Linked DNA regions of Danio rerio. The main gene of each other region encodes a partner of the protein of the gene in region 2 in a complex. Links are inferred from orthologs where the notes say so. Each region holds a gene or a part of one and is shown on either strand. Other genes may lie near its edges. The genes, in order: flcn, lamtor3, lamtor4 and lamtor1.

Evidence for each region.
Region 1: lamtor3 (region 2) and flcn share a complex: the UniProt entries of both Homo sapiens proteins name them as parts of the lysosomal folliculin complex. The link is inferred for Danio rerio from reciprocal best matches to the Homo sapiens genes LAMTOR3 and FLCN.
Region 3: lamtor3 (region 2) and lamtor4 share a complex: the UniProt entries of both Homo sapiens proteins name them as parts of the ragulator complex. The link is inferred for Danio rerio from reciprocal best matches to the Homo sapiens genes LAMTOR3 and LAMTOR4.
Region 4: lamtor3 (region 2) and lamtor1 share a complex: the UniProt entries of both Homo sapiens proteins name them as parts of the ragulator complex. The link is inferred for Danio rerio from reciprocal best matches to the Homo sapiens genes LAMTOR3 and LAMTOR1.

What each region holds. Positions count from the first base shown.
Region 1 is NC_133191.1:14,166,386-14,170,084, reverse strand, and holds part of flcn (folliculin), read right to left. Parts: intron 2,833-3,699; coding exon 2,709-2,832; intron 2,215-2,708; coding exon 2,089-2,214; intron 1-2,088. UniProt on the Homo sapiens protein: Multi-functional protein, involved in both the cellular response to amino acid availability and in the regulation of glycolysis.
Region 2 is NC_133188.1:12,898,563-12,903,059, forward strand, and holds the end of lamtor3 (ragulator complex protein LAMTOR3), read right to left. Parts: intron 3,921-4,497; coding exon 3,787-3,920; intron 3,704-3,786; coding exon 3,640-3,703; exon of another isoform or gene 2,626-3,639; intron 1,478-2,625; exon of another isoform or gene 1,250-1,477; intron 858-1,249; coding exon 784-857; 3' UTR 549-783; downstream 1-548. UniProt on the Homo sapiens protein: As part of the Ragulator complex it is involved in amino acid sensing and activation of mTORC1, a signaling complex promoting cell growth in response to growth factors, energy levels, and amino acids.
Region 3 is NC_133179.1:20,644,579-20,648,780, forward strand, and holds the start of lamtor4 (ragulator complex protein LAMTOR4), read left to right. Parts: upstream 1-1,343; 5' UTR 1,344-1,403; coding exon 1,404-1,406; intron 1,407-1,556; coding exon of another isoform or gene 1,557-1,592; coding exon 1,593-1,673; intron 1,674-3,017; coding exon 3,018-3,135; intron 3,136-3,732; coding exon 3,733-3,830; 3' UTR 3,831-4,202. Other genes in the region: atp6v1f (V-type proton ATPase subunit F), read right to left, coding at 783-940. UniProt on the Homo sapiens protein: As part of the Ragulator complex it is involved in amino acid sensing and activation of mTORC1, a signaling complex promoting cell growth in response to growth factors, energy levels, and amino acids.
Region 4 is NC_133190.1:46,802,726-46,807,186, forward strand, and holds the start of lamtor1 (ragulator complex protein LAMTOR1), read right to left. Parts: upstream 2,811-4,461; 5' UTR 2,628-2,810; coding exon 2,586-2,627; intron 31-2,585; coding exon 1-30. UniProt on the Homo sapiens protein: Key component of the Ragulator complex, a multiprotein complex involved in amino acid sensing and activation of mTORC1, a signaling complex promoting cell growth in response to growth factors, energy levels, and amino acids.

The DNA.
Region 1 (3,699 bases), on a different chromosome or scaffold from region 2:
GCACTCATTCGGTAGTGCTCAGCTGACGACGCACTCCAAAGCACCTGATCTCCTTGCTGCGACTTGGTTGGCCCGTAACAGCTGTCGGTGACTGATTTTTTTCTGTTTGTTCTTCATCGTCCACTGCATCACTTCCTCGTTTTCACCTTTATTATTATTATTATCACAACTATTTGGAAATATAAAGAAGTTTCTCATACTCGGCTCTAGTGACATTTTTACAACTCTGCAGTGCTGACAAGAGGTGACAAAACAAGGGCAATCGCCATCAGCTGGACAGGAGTGGAAATTACAGTTAGCAACAAATTACAACAGATCCCCCTCAGAATAATCCGTCAAATTGATGGATCACCTTCAGATTTTTTCCGTCACAGCTGAAAAAAATCTGTCAATGACGGAAAATATTCGGTTAACGCAACCTCTGGCCTAGATATAATGTAAAAGAAGTAAAAACATGACATTTACAATATTCTAAAAATCCTTGTTTACTTAAGACCAAGTGAAACTGTCACTGAATTGAAAGTTTAGCTCATTCACGGAGAGAGCTGGCGATCAGACAGTTTCACTAGAGTCAGTAAGTTCAGCGTTTAACATAAACTAATACACAGTGTCTTCTGCGACAGATGTTGACAAGCATCGGCATCTTTGTTCCCTTTCATTTCTTTTCTCTGCTTTTTCTCAATGTATATTAAACTTGATTTCCTGAGGCATTTAATGTTTTAATGTTGGAGGAAAAAAAATACCGGTAATGAAAATTAACATCCCTTTGATTGAAAATGAGACATATGCACACAGACTTTTCATTTCAGCCAGCCAGCCAGCCGATTCCGGTGAACTGTCTTTCCATTATAAAATTACCACGTTTAAGGTGTGATTTCTTTAAAGATCAGTGATCCTCACTGCCTGATAGATATACGATATGAAGTGCGTTTCAGACCAGAGAAGAAGCACTGCATCAAATTCCATTTTCTACCATCACGTCTTTAAAATAAGACAGTTTATTACACTCCAATATTTTCAGTGGAGTTTCTGAACTAGCCTGATGCTACTGACGGCAATCGCACTTACGTGGTCTTTCATTTCGTTTTACACATGAACAACTAAATAATGCTTAAGTTAATTTAACTGAATGTATTTTAATTACATTACAATGTTGATGCTGTAAAAGGAACCTTATGAAATTGAAAATAGTCGCATTAAGCTTTCACCAGAAGTTTATCAGTGGCTGAAAAACACTTGCTGTACATATAGCCCATTAGAAGCAAAAGCTGCACAATGTGGCACCATATCATAGTTTTGTATCACCATTTGTGCTGCATTTACAATAGAAATATATTTACAGAAAGAGGTGGAGCACCCAGATTGTGGATTTAAAAAACAAAAAAAGCCTAAATATGTTGTGTTTTTTCTACATACTTCACAGAGGCATCATTTACATTATATTAAGACATACAAACCTTCATATCAAGAGATCCCTTTAAAAAAGATTTCTGAGGGGCCATTAACATCATAATACTTTCAACCAAAATGACATACATTTTGCCTGACATACACATGCCTGTTCATTTAAGAGACGACTGTGTTTTTGAATTGGAAATCACATAAACCTGTAAACGTGGAAGTCTTTGAAAGCGCAGCCACTGTTTGTCCATGTAAACACGCAACAAATGAGAGTCTAAGAAAGTGATGACATCATGTGCACGCATAGTAGGTGTTTAAAGAGCTGTAGATTAAAGGCTAGCACAAACAAACACTCTACAACAGTGGAGAACATGATAACATTGTTGCACAAGTGTTTGCTAACAATCCATCAGCAAAGATTGGATTTACATCACATTATGCCGTTAAAGACCTTACACTCATTGCAAGTTCTGCATTCACATCAACGCTATGTACTGTTTACTAACAAGATGACTACGCCAAAAACTAGCCTAGTATTTGTTGTACAGTGCTTTTGCTAATATCTAAATGCAGATTGTGTAAAGGTGAAACTTTATTAAAACACAAGAGAAAAACTCGAGCATTTTGGCTAGAGTGTAAATCTAAAGACTAATAGCAACCCAACTGATGTTATGTTCACGCGCTTACCTTTATCTGTTGGTTGTGTGTTGGCACTGCTAATGTGGAACTGGTAAAGTGACAGAATGTCATCGTCTGAAACGGGGTTTACACAACCTCGCTCTGCGCTCAGTACATCCACCAGCACAGAAAACTCTGGAAGACAAATCGAGACGGAGAAAGACAGAGGTTAAACCTTCAGGAGGCTCTATCAGTGTGTTGAACTTCAAATGAACCTGACAAAGAGTTATGAAGCAGATTCGCTGTGTTTAGATAGAAAACAGTCGCACACAAGTTGGGAAATGGGATTTAAATCAAACTCTGACAAAGAACACCCTAAAACACTTAGTTTGAGGCCTCTGTTGCATATATGTATGTTTGTCTTGATAGAAATCTTGTTAGATAAACAACATGTTCCCCTCGAGATGCTGGATGAAGATTAAGAGAGCGGGACTGAAGTGAGTGTTAATGTTTGCGTAAGTTTGACCCTCAACTACTGCAATGCCTCAGGGATGGCATGAGAATACAATGGGTTAATGGGGTCAGACCTCTTGGGGCTTTTTAAACATGTATTTTCAACTACTTGTGGAAAATGTGTGTACAACAGAGGGTTTTTTTCAATAAAAAGGTTTCTAAAGAACAGAAGATACCTGAGGAGCTGACGTGGGCTGGGATGGGTACGTCTGGACTAAGGCCAAGGAAGTTGCACCGATATGCTTCCTCATAGTGAGGACTGTACTGCACTGCTCGCACACAGCCAACTGGAAGCAAAGCCTGGGAAATGGTCACAAATAAGGATTAGAAGAGATTTAGCAAGATTTTCAGCTTCTCCTTTAATAATGCTTTCCAGCTGAAGGTTTGGGCACAGCTACTTTTACTTTATCATTGCTATTTTTCTCATTTTGGAATAAAATTATCATCAGCATCATATATCATATAATATCATAACATGTCATATCATATATGATATTATGCCATATCATATCATATAAATGATAAAATAAAATAATAATGACTTAGAGAAATCATCCACTAAAATGTAAATGAGTTTTTTTAAGGCATAATTAGAACAGGAATCTTTTAACAATGCACAGTATAAGATATATAATATAATCAAATAAGATATTCAAGGATCACAGTGCAGTCCTGAAATTCTCATTCATTTTCATTTTAAGTCTTAAAACTTTACCAAAATCTATCAAACCACTTCGTTTTACACTTTATTTTAAGCTGTTTTTAAATTAAAAGACGATAACATGAGTAAGAAAATTTCTCCCATATTTTAGCATTGCATTTTCATCGACATTATTTACATTAAATAGACATTTTACTTATATTTAACATGTTTTTTATGTATAAAAAATCTATTTAAATTCTGTCTGGTCTAATTTATCCATTAAAAACATCTATTATATTATTTTATACATCAATGTTTTTAATTATTATTTTTTTTATTACTTTTTAATATAATGGTTAAACTTTTTACCTTTTTAATAACAATTCTATATGTTTTAATAAATTTTTTGGATCTGTAAACAAAGTATAAATTCATTTAAAAATACATTTTTAAATATACATCTTTTCTCTAAAACACAATTCTGAAGATCCTATACTCAAAAAAATGTTTGCTGTTTATTCAAA
Region 2 (4,497 bases):
TAATATAAAGCTTTTCCGTTTTAAGCACAGTTTCAGGTGTTTAACCATAAACACATCTGATTCTGGGTCAACAGAAGTGCTAAATTTTGAAGCATGATCTACAAAAATGTCGTCCCAGTAGAATGCTGGACATCACCAAAGTAAAAATTATAAATTCTCTTTCATTCATTTTCCTTTGGCTTAGTCCCTTTATTCATCAGAGGTTGCCGCAGCGGAATGAAACGCCAACTTATCCAGCATGTTTTACACAGCAGATGTGGTTCCAGCTGCAACCCAGTACGGGAAAACATCCTTACACATTCACAATTCACCTATAGTGCATGTCTTTGGACTGTAGGGGAAGCACCCGGAGGAAACCCACACCAACAGGGGAGAACATGCAAACTCCACACAGAAATGGCAACTGACCCAGCTGGCGCTCAAACCAGTGACCTTCTTGCTGTGAGGCGACAGTGCTAACCACAGAGCCACTGTCACCCCAGTTAAATTCTCCAAAAATTTTTATTTTTTTTTTCGTGTTGTTTGGGAGCAAAGAAAAAAGTGCACAATGTCATTAAATACACTTTATTTTTTGTAAACGAACACTTAAGACAAATTTATTAATTAGGATGACACAAAAATGAGCAGGTTACATTCATAAAATACATACAGCATCAGGAGCATCCACAACAACAGCCAGCCAACAATACATATGTACAGATGTGTTTGCATGAACTCGAGCACCAGGACCTCAGATTGGAAAGTGGCTCTCTTATCATTCAGGTGGTCTGAGATGAACAGCTGCTAAGCCACTTCCACCACCTGCCTAAGTTCTTCAATCAGAGGAACCAGCTCCTTCTCCAGACTGAAGATCAATCCTACAGAAGAAAAACAAAGAGGAAAACATATCATTCAACTGATATTAATAGTTCCAAGCCCAACATTGAATAACTGTCATTCAGTCTTTTAAAGGTCTGGTGAAATGAAAATAAACTTTATTAGATATTAGTTTCAGTCTGTTAGTTTTAAGGAAACGCGTTTAGAAGATATAAATCTGATAGAAACATCCAAAGCTTTGCAGTTTGCAATTCCTAAAAGGTTTGTTTTTTTCCATGCCACCACCTCATAGTCAGTTTGTCATCAAATCTTGACCAATCAAATGCTCTCTAGTATCTGACATGCCCCTCCTACTTCAAGATGCTTCTCATTTAATGCATTTGAGCTCAATCCCTCTCACTGGCAAAGCTAACAATAGTTTTTTTTTTTTTAAACGAATCACTATTGGCAGTTTTTTCTTTTAAAAGGGGAGAAACTACTTTATGTCCCACTCTCTTCATTTTTCAGTTGAGATCATGTCAAACATCAAATAAAAATGCACATTTCAAAGCACTTCACGGGACCCTTACATGTACTTTATTCACATCTTAGGCAGACGGATTGCAGGCATGGACTCCAGAGATTTCATTTAATGCTCAAGCATAGGTCTCAAACCCAATTCCTGGAGGGCCGCAGCTTTGCTCAAACCCTAATCAAACACAGCTGATCCAACTAATCAAGATGTTTAAGACTGGCTGTTTCTCATTATCAAGTACACAAAGTTCAGACTTGCTAAGTTCAGACTAGAAGAACGAACTCCTGAGGCCACAAGTCGGGCACTTCTTCAAATGGAACGGCAGTGTACTTTATCACGACACTTGCCTCACCGTGGAGTCATCGATTTCACTGTGCATTAGCAAAAACAATTATTCAATTATATAAAGCACGACCCTATAATTAATATATTAATATTACAAATCTACATTTTTGATTTAAGAAAATGTAAACATAAATTCATATAACTGTGAAGTAAAAGGAGTTATTAGACACGTGTATTTGATTATTAGATTTGATAAACTACAATGGTAATTATACAAGTCTATACATAAGAAATAAAGACATACACAACAAGAAATAAGGATTATGGTCGAACAATTTGGTAAACAAAGACAAACAGCGTACAACACGGTAACATAATTAAAGACCATTATAAAAGGTAACAAAATAATACTGCCAAAATAATACACCTGATAACAAATAATAGATTTTAAAGACCAAATACTGTCCACTAGATATACACAAGATGTATTAAATATCATGTTTTAACTACAATGGATTGATGAGATCCAGCGGTACATCCCAGATGGACTGGCCAAAGTAAGGCTGCTCTTGGCGGGGGAGGTGATGGCGGAGCTCCTGCTGGCAGGCTGGGAGTCGAAGTCTGCATAAGCTGAGGCACATCGTCAAAGATGCGCTATCTTTGTGAATAAACTGCTGATTCGAGTGTAAAACAACTACACTCGCCTGAAAAACTGTTAAAACTTTATTTTGTGACACATTAAAGGAGTACTTTTAAAACTGTGTGGGTTTTCTCCTCCTGGGTTTTCTCTCTTCCATTCTGGAATACTTGAGCTTCGCAAGTTCGCATAAGTCACCTCTCGATGCATCCTTGGCAAGGGTTGATGACGTTTCACGAGGACACAAGACCGCAAATACAGACAAGAACGCATATTAAGAAGCAGCCCTAGACTCTACTAGATCAGCTGTGTTTGATTAAGATTGGAGTAAAACTGTGCAGAGCTGCGGCCCTCCAGGAATTGAGTTTGAGACCCATGTGCTAAAGCAAAAATATTTCTTTATTTTATTTAAAGATTAAATCATTGTTACCTATTTAGTAACACCTTATTATGAAAGCAACATAATTACACTTAATTAAATACATTTATCCCAAATCCACAACACTTAATTAAAATTGAAGCATTTCCAATGACTTCCAGCATCCGTAAGAACCCTGGTTACTGTAATGTACACAGAACATCCATCAAACAGTGCAGGTCAGAAATGGCAGATTCATAAACATTTTATGTTTTAATACATTATTGTTAGTTAATTGGTTTTAATGATCTACACCAGTGTTTAAATTATCTGATTACCGGGGGTCTGCTTTTTTTCTGTTTTGATAATAGCCTACACATGCATGCCTCAGTGAACCAAATTCATATATTTCAATGACATCTCGTTTATTAATAAAAATTACTTTCTGTGTTTTTAATGAGTAATAAATAGACTTTTGCATACAGTAAACCTGTGATGGGCTATTTCAACAAACAACTATTAACAACATGTTTTTGGTATAAAACAGGTATTTTGCTGAACCGGGATAACTTTATTCCAGCTCCAATAAATATATGATAATAAAAGATTGCACATACAGTTTACTGTGCAACTTCCATCTAGTTTAATTTGACTTATCTATTAGGCTACATGTAGACAGAATATAGATAGAATTTACAAGAAACAGCATATTTTGAAGATTTACTGTGGGCTAGATTTGTTTTTTTCTGATTAGAAGTTATTATTAACATATAGGATAAGTTAATATTAATATTAACTTATTATTATTATTATTATTCCAGATACAGATACGTGAAAACTACTTCCCAGACCCCACACACATCTAGTTTTGATATCCTTTAGGAAGTTTAAGCATTAATTAGGAGGGTCAAACCCCCTCTTTAATTTACACCACACTAGCGGGTAAATCAAATACGGCTAAGCAGTGACAACTTCTTTAATTTTGATCTCTAAAGTAAAAATGGCTCATTGTGACAGAGAAATACTCACCCGTGTTAGCGTTACTACTTGCGATGAAACTTATCACTAAGGGTAATCGGTTGAACTGTACAATCTGCCAATGATAAACAGCATACGTTAATATAAGAAATTCTGAGTAACTAGCAGATCAAATGTGTCTTATGTCAAAGAAAGCACCTGATATGTGTTGTAGTAACAAATGATGCTCTTATTTTTGGACAAGCCCAGCTTGCTGCCCTGGTCGGTTGCCAAAGCAAAGGTGGACAAGAAGGCCGGCCGCAGCGCATATTCAGGAGCATTGTCATTAGCCACTAGAGTGGACACAAGCAACATTTCAGAGCTTTACTACATAGATATACTACACATATTATTTTAACATACATATATAGAACATAAAAAGTAGACTTTATTTTAAGTAGATGCTTGAGCTTTCCTTTCATCAAAGAATTCTAAAAGTGACATTTAACATAGCTTCCACAAAACAATGAAGTGGGGAAACTGATAATATTGATAAGATGACTTATTAATAATGATTGATTAGCAATAATAACTGATCATAACAGATTGATTTCTGAAGAACCATGTGACACTGCAGACTAGGGCTGTACAATATATCAGCATCAACATTGCAAATTGATCATTCGCAATAGTCACATGACAAATATAGGCAATGTTGAGTTTGGATTAAAATTCATTATTTGCATGTTTTTGATGCATGGAATTGTATAATGAGCTAAAAAAAAAAAAAATAATAATAATAATTGTATAATGACCTTAAACACATTCAGGCGTAAGAAGTTTAAGTACCATTTGTAACTTTGATAATGGTTAATTTTATAGAACTACTTTTATATTTATTATTCAGTTACCAAACTGAATTTTTTACTA
Region 3 (4,202 bases), on a different chromosome or scaffold from region 2:
CAGACATTATTGCATATTTATGTAAATACCAAACTACATATTGACTTGGACTTGTACTTATTCATATAGACCATTTCATTGTGGTGATGACATTGGCCTATGCTTGATATCAAAGAAACAATTGAATAATAACTTAATTCTAAAAAAGCTATCATAACATTATTTATCAATAAGCAGGCTCTTTTTAGATTCTCGTAAGCTATAAAAATTAAAAATGTAAAACAGAAAATACGTTGGAACATTTGTTTTTGTTTACATTCCTCAAAATGATCTATCGTCAGAATAAGAAGAGATCAGACAAACATGTTCTTATATTTAAATTATTCAAAATTGATCAGTAGTTTGAAGAATAGTGACAAAGGATATTTAAATGACAATTGTCAATAGGGGCTGCACTGTAATTCATAATATTAATAGTTTGATATGTCTTTAATAGTTTCTTGCAAATATGATTGACAGTTTACTGGTGTATATAAAATATTGTTAAACTAAAAGACATTTAAGTGGGTTTCTTGACAAATTTAGGTAATTATTACTACATAAAAATAATTTATATATAAATGTTTTTTCTAAAATATTTGGCTGATATGATAGATAGATAGATAGATAGATAGATAGATAGATAGATAGATAGATAGATAGATAGATAGATAGATAGATAAACATAAATATTTTTTTAAAAAGCAAGTCTTCATCCATATATTTGTAATGACACATATTTGATAATTAGATTGTAATATATGATGTTGAGTCATTCAGACATTTAGGATCGTGTCACTTACTTGAAGGTCTCCTCTATCTCTGTAACGCTGGTTTCCTTCTCCACCACCAAGAAATTGGGTTTACGGTTTTTATTGAGCTCTCCGATCCCTCCGAGGAGAAATCCGGTGCACGTGTCTTCATCACCGATAACTGCGATTAATTTTCCTCGTCCGGGCATCGTGACTTTGTCTTATATTTTGCTCAAATAAAAGACGCAGAATGGACGAAATGTTTTCCGTTCAGCAGGATCATATGCTTTAATCAGCTGACCACTTCACTTCCGCTTTGCGTAGTCGCGTAAGCGCCTTATTTAGCTGATCTGAGATCTGTGCTGCTCGCGTTAACGACCGACCTGTGTGCGGTGATTATGACAGCGAATCTGATCCTGATACAGATTATTTTTTGTTAAATGCGAGAACAGCGCATAAATCCTAGCAAATTAAATAAAAATCCGCCACGTTTTAGTCATACTAAGATTTTTTATCACATTTTGTACGTTTCCAATGCATATAAACAAAAATAATGTCGAATAAGCAAAACATCTCCTGGAATGACGTTATAAACACGCGACGCTTGATGTCAGTCACGTGAGGCGGGGTGTGAAGGAAAACAGCAGTGTACATTTATCTGCACTGTCTAAAATGGTAAATATAATTCTTACCTTTAAAATATTTGTTTAATTAAATGTTTTTTTTATTAAATGTTTTGTTTTAGTGCATTTAGAACTTATAAAACAAAGATTTTGTAAATAATGTGATTGATGATGCAGTCTAATATCATATGAGCTCTGTTAGTGTTTAATTACAGTATTATCGTGTGTTGAATGTCAGACTACTGCTTTGACTCAAGGCTTGGAGAGAATACCCGATCAACTTGGGTACTTGGTTATTAGTGAAGACGGAGTACTCGCGGTAAGCTGTTAAAATTCATAACTTACATTTTCGGAGAACTTGACATGAGGGTGAAATGCGTTGAAAAGAGAATCCTGATTTGGGCAAATGAGAAATAATTAATTAGAATTCAATGTCTGTCAGTCTTATTGTTCTGTCTGTCTCTGTTTGCCTGTCTACACTTTGAGGCAAAATTATTACGCCTCTACTGATACATATTATTTAAAAAAAAATTCCCAAGTTATGATGAACTGAGCAATGACATTTTCACAGTATTTTCTATAATATTTTTATTCTTGAGAAAATTTTTTATTTCTTTTATTTTGTCTGGAATAAAAGCAGTTTTTAAATAAAAAAATAACAATTTTAATAGGTTAATAGGCCCTTAGAACAAAATAATGGTATTCAATGACTTGCCTAGTTAAACTTATTAACCAAGTTAAGCCTTTAAGTTACTCATTAAGATGAATTCTAATATCTTGTAAAATAACTAGCAAAATATTATGCAGTGTTATCATGGCAAAGACAGATTCTGTTAAAAAATATATATATTACAACTATTATTTTTAAAAATGTGTTGAGAAATCTTCTTCCTTTTGAACAGCCTTCATGAAAATAAATTAAAAAAGGAAAATATTTATTTATTGCCAATAATTGTGCCTTTAACTGTATCTATCTATCTGTCTGTCTGTCTGTCTGTCTGTCTGTTGGACACACCTGGCTCAAGGGGTTATCTCTCTCTCTGTCTCTTTCTATATATTCGATAGGTTCTATGTTTTAATCATATAATCAATTTATCATTTACAGTTGAGTCAGAATTATTAGCCTTGCTGTTTAATTTTAAATCTTTTATATTTTTCCCCAATTTCTGTTTTACAGAGAGATTTTTTTTCAACACTTTTCTAAACATAATAGATTGAATAACTAATGAATTTCTTTTATCTTCGCCATGATGACAGTACATACTATTTTACTACATATTTTTCAGGATAATAGTATTCAGCTTCAAGTTCAATTTAAAGGCTTAATTGGGTTAATTAGGTTAAGGAAGATACTTAGTTTAATTAGTAATTTAATTAACAATAATTTGTTCTGTAGACAAGTTAAAAAAATATATTGCTTGGGGGGGGGGGGGTAATAATAATTGAGTTAAAATGGTATGAAAAGCTGCTTTTATTCTGGCCAAAATAAAACAAATAAGACTTTCTCCAGAGGAAACAATATTATATGAAATAATGTGAAAATGTCCTTGCTCTATTAAACATAATTTGGGAAATATTTAAAAAAGAAAATATCATAGGGGGATTAATAATGACTCCACTTGTCTCAGTTAAGCAGTAAGTGAATGTTTTTTGTAATCTACAGTCGGCAGGAGAGCTGGAGAATGACGAGCACACAGCAGGAGTGATCATGCAGATGGTCCGAACAGCTTGTCGCTTCAGATTACATGGGACTGCAGAGCCCCCATTCAAGCGCATGTCTGGTAAGAAACGCACTTCATTTTTAGATAAATGCTGAATGATGATAGAACAATATTTCACTCATATTTTGTCATTTAATTTTCAAAAAATGTGATGTGAATTATTAAAGTAAACATGCTTGTGTAACATCAGGTTTATGTAATATTCAGATATCACTGTAGTATTAGTGTTTATTTGTAACATTAGGTTTAAGTATTATCCAGATATTTTTACAGTTTGAAATAGTTTTTATCTTTACATTTTGTGTTTTTTCTATTTAAAGTTTAAGCAATTTTGTTATGTATTTCTATCAGTTGTGTTTTTAAATAGGTCTGTTTAAAAAAAAAAAGGTTTTATTAGTTTTTATGGTTTCATGTGTAACCATTTTAAGTCTTTTTTTATCCTCTTGATTTTGTTTAGGAACAAAATAGCCCTAATAAAATAAAATAACCCTCTTTAATTTGTTGTTTTAATTAAATTTATTCAATAAGAAATAATTGATATATGATCATTTACTATTTTACAGTAAATCATTTTTACTTGCTGTGAAAATCCATAACTTCCAAACAAATACTGATATTAATGTATATTTTTTTCTTTCCTTTTTTGTCTGATGTCAGTGATGTTTGAAGACTACGTCTATGCTGTGACCATCTCCGGACAGAAGGTTTTCGTAGTGAAAAGGCAGAACAACCAGCGGGAGCCTGTTATCGTGTAGTAAAGAGGATAATATGGACTGATCTTTCCCACTATTACAAGCTCAAAATGGTGCCCTCACATAAAAATGACCCCGTCTTTACAACCACCCGATGTTTAGCACAATCACACTCTCTTTCTTTCTTAAGGTGAAATTTTGCAATGTTTTGGGGGCCTTTTGGTGATGTCAGGTGTATTTGACCTGAGCCAAAGTAAGTTCATGTGTTTCTCTTATTAGATTATGATGTTACATGGTTCATCTGATTTCTTTTTTTTGGATACAGGATTAAATTGTTTTTATATTTTAGTCCCTTTCATACTTGAGTGGTCACAATTATAGTATTGCTGGACATCATTATAGATTTGCATTAACATTTAACTCCAATAATCCATT
Region 4 (4,461 bases), on a different chromosome or scaffold from region 2:
AGGAATCAGTGGCTTCACCTCATCTCCATCCTGCAGGACCAAAACATCAACACATCCTGTTCAAACACCCAGAAAGACCACTTTATTTTCATGTAAGCTAACAGGCTGCATTCACGCTGCAGATCTTGATGGTCAATTGCGATTTTGTGACTGTATCTGATTTTTTTGATGACCTGCTTACATCATTAATTAAAAGGGACTCGTATCCGATTGTCTGCATTTACACAGTACACAGCAAAGGCGCAATGACCAGGAAAAATAATTAAATTAAATAAAAATAGAAAAAAAGAGTGGGCGATATCCCAATATAAAAATAAATCATAAATACTCCTCATACTTTCGTACAACTGTTATAAATACTCCCAGACCTGAAAATCCACTAATACATTCAACTTTTCCATCATTGAGAAAACCCTTAATACTACATATCCCCAAACATTAACATTAGGACATGTCAGATCTGACACATTAGATCCAAATCCAACACAATTTACGACAAATCCCACAGAAACACCAGCTTTAGTTCATTAAAAAAACACACGTTGATGATCAAATATACATAAAAAAAGTAGCGTAACTGGAATAATTTTGACGCAGTTTTGACAAACACTCAGCATTGAGCTGTTCTTGAATCATAAACACACAACTGTATTAAAAATGTGTCGTAAGTAAATGTTGTTGCAGGACTACAGACGCTACATTAAGCTGCATTATTAGTGTTTTGGGTATTTGTCTGTACTGGACAGCATAACACCAACTTTTAGTGCAAACCCTACAATATTTAGACATTTTAATTTAAAACATTTTCACGTTTGGCTTCAGTTTATTATTTAAAACCAACTAAAATCATAACTGCATTAAACTGTATTAAAAGTGTGTCGTAAGTAAATGTTGTTGCAGAACTACAGACGCTACATTAAGCTGCATTATTATTGGTATTTTAAGTTATTTTTCAGCATTGGACAGCATAAAACTAACTTTTAGTGTAAATCCAACAAAATTTGCACATTTTAATTTAAAAACCTTTTCACGATTGGCTTAATTAATTTTTTTTTTTTAGCTCACTAAAATCAGAAATACTCCTCATATTTTCGTACAACTATTATAAAAACTCCCAGGCCTAAAATCCACTAATACAGTGGTTCTCAAACTGTGGTACGTGTACCACTAGCGGTACGCAGGCTTCCTTCTAATGGTACGCAGAGGAATCCTACATGTCACGTACAAGCAACATATATTTCAAAATTTATCAAAAATGGTTTGAATATGAATATGATGACATATAGCCTATTTATGAGGTCCAAGCAACATTTCCAGGTTTTGATAAATAGGACTTTACATTTAAGTACAGCAGTTTTTTTCTATTTAAGGACAGTAACCTACCATTTTTATTAAACCTTTAAAAGCACATTAATTTAAACGTTAACATTAATTTTTTTGTTTGTTTGTTTACATATAAGCAGAGTACAGTCTTAATGTTACTATTTATAATGTTTAAAGTGGCTTATAATAATAAATATCCTTAATAGTAGTAGTTATTTTACCACGTTATTAAACTGTGCAGAGCTGCAGCTGTTTTACTGGGCCTACTACGCTACTGTATTTCAATACCGGTCATTATGGTGGTACTTGGAGGAACAATCTTTTCTGAGGTGGTACTTGATGAAAAAAGTTTGAGAATTACTGCACTAATATATTTAACTATTCCATCATTGTGGAAACCCTAACACTACATTTCCCCAAACATTAGCATTAGCACATGTCAGATCTGACACATTAGATCCAAATCCAACACAAAACTCTCAATTTAAGACTATTTCCACCGAAACACCAGCTTCAGTTCATTACAAACACACGCTTATGATATAATATACATAAATAAAGTAGCGTTAGTGGATTAAGTTTGTTGTAGTTTTGACAAACACTCAGTATTGAGCTGTTCTTGAATCACAAACACACAACTGTATTAAAAGTGTGTCGTAAGTAAATGTTGTTGCAGGACTACAGACACTACATTAAGCTGCATTATTATTGGTATTTTAAGTTATTTTTCAGCATTGGACAGCATAAAACTAACTTTTAGTGTAAATCCAACAAAATTTGCACATTTTAATTTAATAAACCTTTTCACGATTGGCTTAATTTTTTTTCTTTTTCACTCAATAAAATCATAAATACTCCCCATATTTTCGTACAACTGTTATAAAAACTCCCAGGCCTAAAATGCACTAATATATTTAACTTTTCCATCATTGTGGAAACCCTAACACTACATTTCCCCAAACATTAGCATTAGCACATGTCAGATCTGACACATTAGACCCACATCCAACACAAAACTCCCAATTTAAGACTAACTCCACCGAAACACCAGCTTCAGTTCATTACAAACACACGTTAATGATCAAATATACATAAATAAAGTAGCGTTAGTGGATTAAGTTTGTTGTAGTTTTGACAAGCACTCAGTATTGAGCTGTTCTTGAATCACAAACACACAACTGTATTGAAAGTGTGTCGTTAGTAAATGTTGTTGCAGGACTACAGACGCTACATTAAGCTGCATTATTAGTGTTTTGAGTTACCGGATCCGTCGTCTCGCTGTCGCTGCTGAAACAGCACCCCATGATGGCCGCCCAGCGGGTTCAGTATCCTGAATTTGGGTTTTTTATTCGTCTCAGGAGCGTTTTTGAGGTTGTGTTTGCCTCTTGGCTGTGAAGAGATTTGCTGCAAACGCAGAAACCATCACATGACAGCACTCCCAATCGTGTCACGTGTCTTCCGTCTCCACACTGGCACGTCAGTTCCGCCCCAAAAACCCGTTAAAAACCTTCATAGATATATACATTAGATGTCGCCTGGCCTATTGTTGTCTATTGGACGGAATGCGTCAATAGCGCCGCCATCTTGCTACAGGGTAGCGCTCCTTTGAAATGAATGCAGGACCAAGGTACAGTGGAGGACTGTGGCCATCCAAAGCCAGAGATATACACATATATCTATGATCGGGAGTTTTCCTGGATGTTGTATGTAATTTTTTTTTTCTAATTACGAAAATTATAATTTTACATCACATTCCTGACAAAAAGCTTGTGTTTGTGTGTACAGAAATGTACTATCCACCCTCCCTGTTAAATTTGATCTAATCATGTCCTGAAACACAGCTCCTCTCCTGCTTTCACTTCTCATACTGACGGAGCGGGAGCGAGTTGGAGCTGCTTTGCCTTATGGTGAATGCAGTAAGTCACTGTTTTCATCAATAACGTTACCTGATTAGCACAAAAGTTCAGAACATACAAAAACAGAAAAAACTTTTTATTACCTATGGAATGTTCTGCCTTTGTGCTTTGTTTTCTGTTTTGCTCGCTAAAGTCCCGCATCTTCACGTAATAACACTGACTTGACTAGTGCGGTTGAATGACATTTGTACTGGGAGCACTGTACCAATGTGGCGGCGCTATTGACGCATGCTCAGGGTCCCTATGCGATATCTAGTGTGTGTATGTATGTATATATGGAATGTATATATGTATGTATATATATGTATGTATATATATGTATATATATGTATATATATATATGTATGAAAAACCTTTAGGAAACCTTTATGAAAAACCTTTAAGAAACATCATGCTTTTTTTTTTTTTTTTTTTTTGCAATAATAACAGTACTTTACAACAAATACAGATACAAAACTGAAAGTATGGTACAATCAATAGAAATATTACTTTTTGAAAAAGTGGAATGTAACAAATTTAGAACAAATATAATATAGGTAAATCAAAATAAAGACAACGAGAGAGAGAGAGAGAGAGAGAGAGAGAGAGAGAGAGAGAGAGAGAGAGAGAGAAATAATAATAATAATTAAGGGCACATGACAAAGATTAAACAAATTATTGCAGGATATTAAATAAAGCACATATTTTATAAGTTTTAATAGCTTTCTTATTGTGAGAGTCTGTGATGGGTTTTTTTTTAAATAAAGAGCTAGTTCTCGTTTAAAAAAAAAAAAAAAAATAGGCTTACAATGAGTATATTTGCATTTGTGTATAAAAAACTTTCCAATAAATAAAATGTGGTTTATGCAAAAAGTTGAATTAAGGAATTCTTTTCCTTTAATATAAAACCACAAAATAATATGTCTATAGCTTAAAGAAAAATCTCCACAAACCTTTTGGATAATTAGAGAGTTTACATTAGACCAAAAAGATTTAACAGAGGGACACTCCCGAAACAAGTGAGCAACAGATTCAGAAGAGGTTTCACAGAAAGAGCAAGAGATGCCAATGTCATTTTTACATTTTTGTAAAAATTGTTTAACGGGATAAAACCTGTAAATAATTTTAAAAGATATTTCTTTAATTTTATTTGTTAAAAAAAATTCTGGGGGAGCGACCAGACATACGACCATTTAATATCCTCAAAGAGGTTGTTACAATAAGAATTAAGAATTATGCTCTC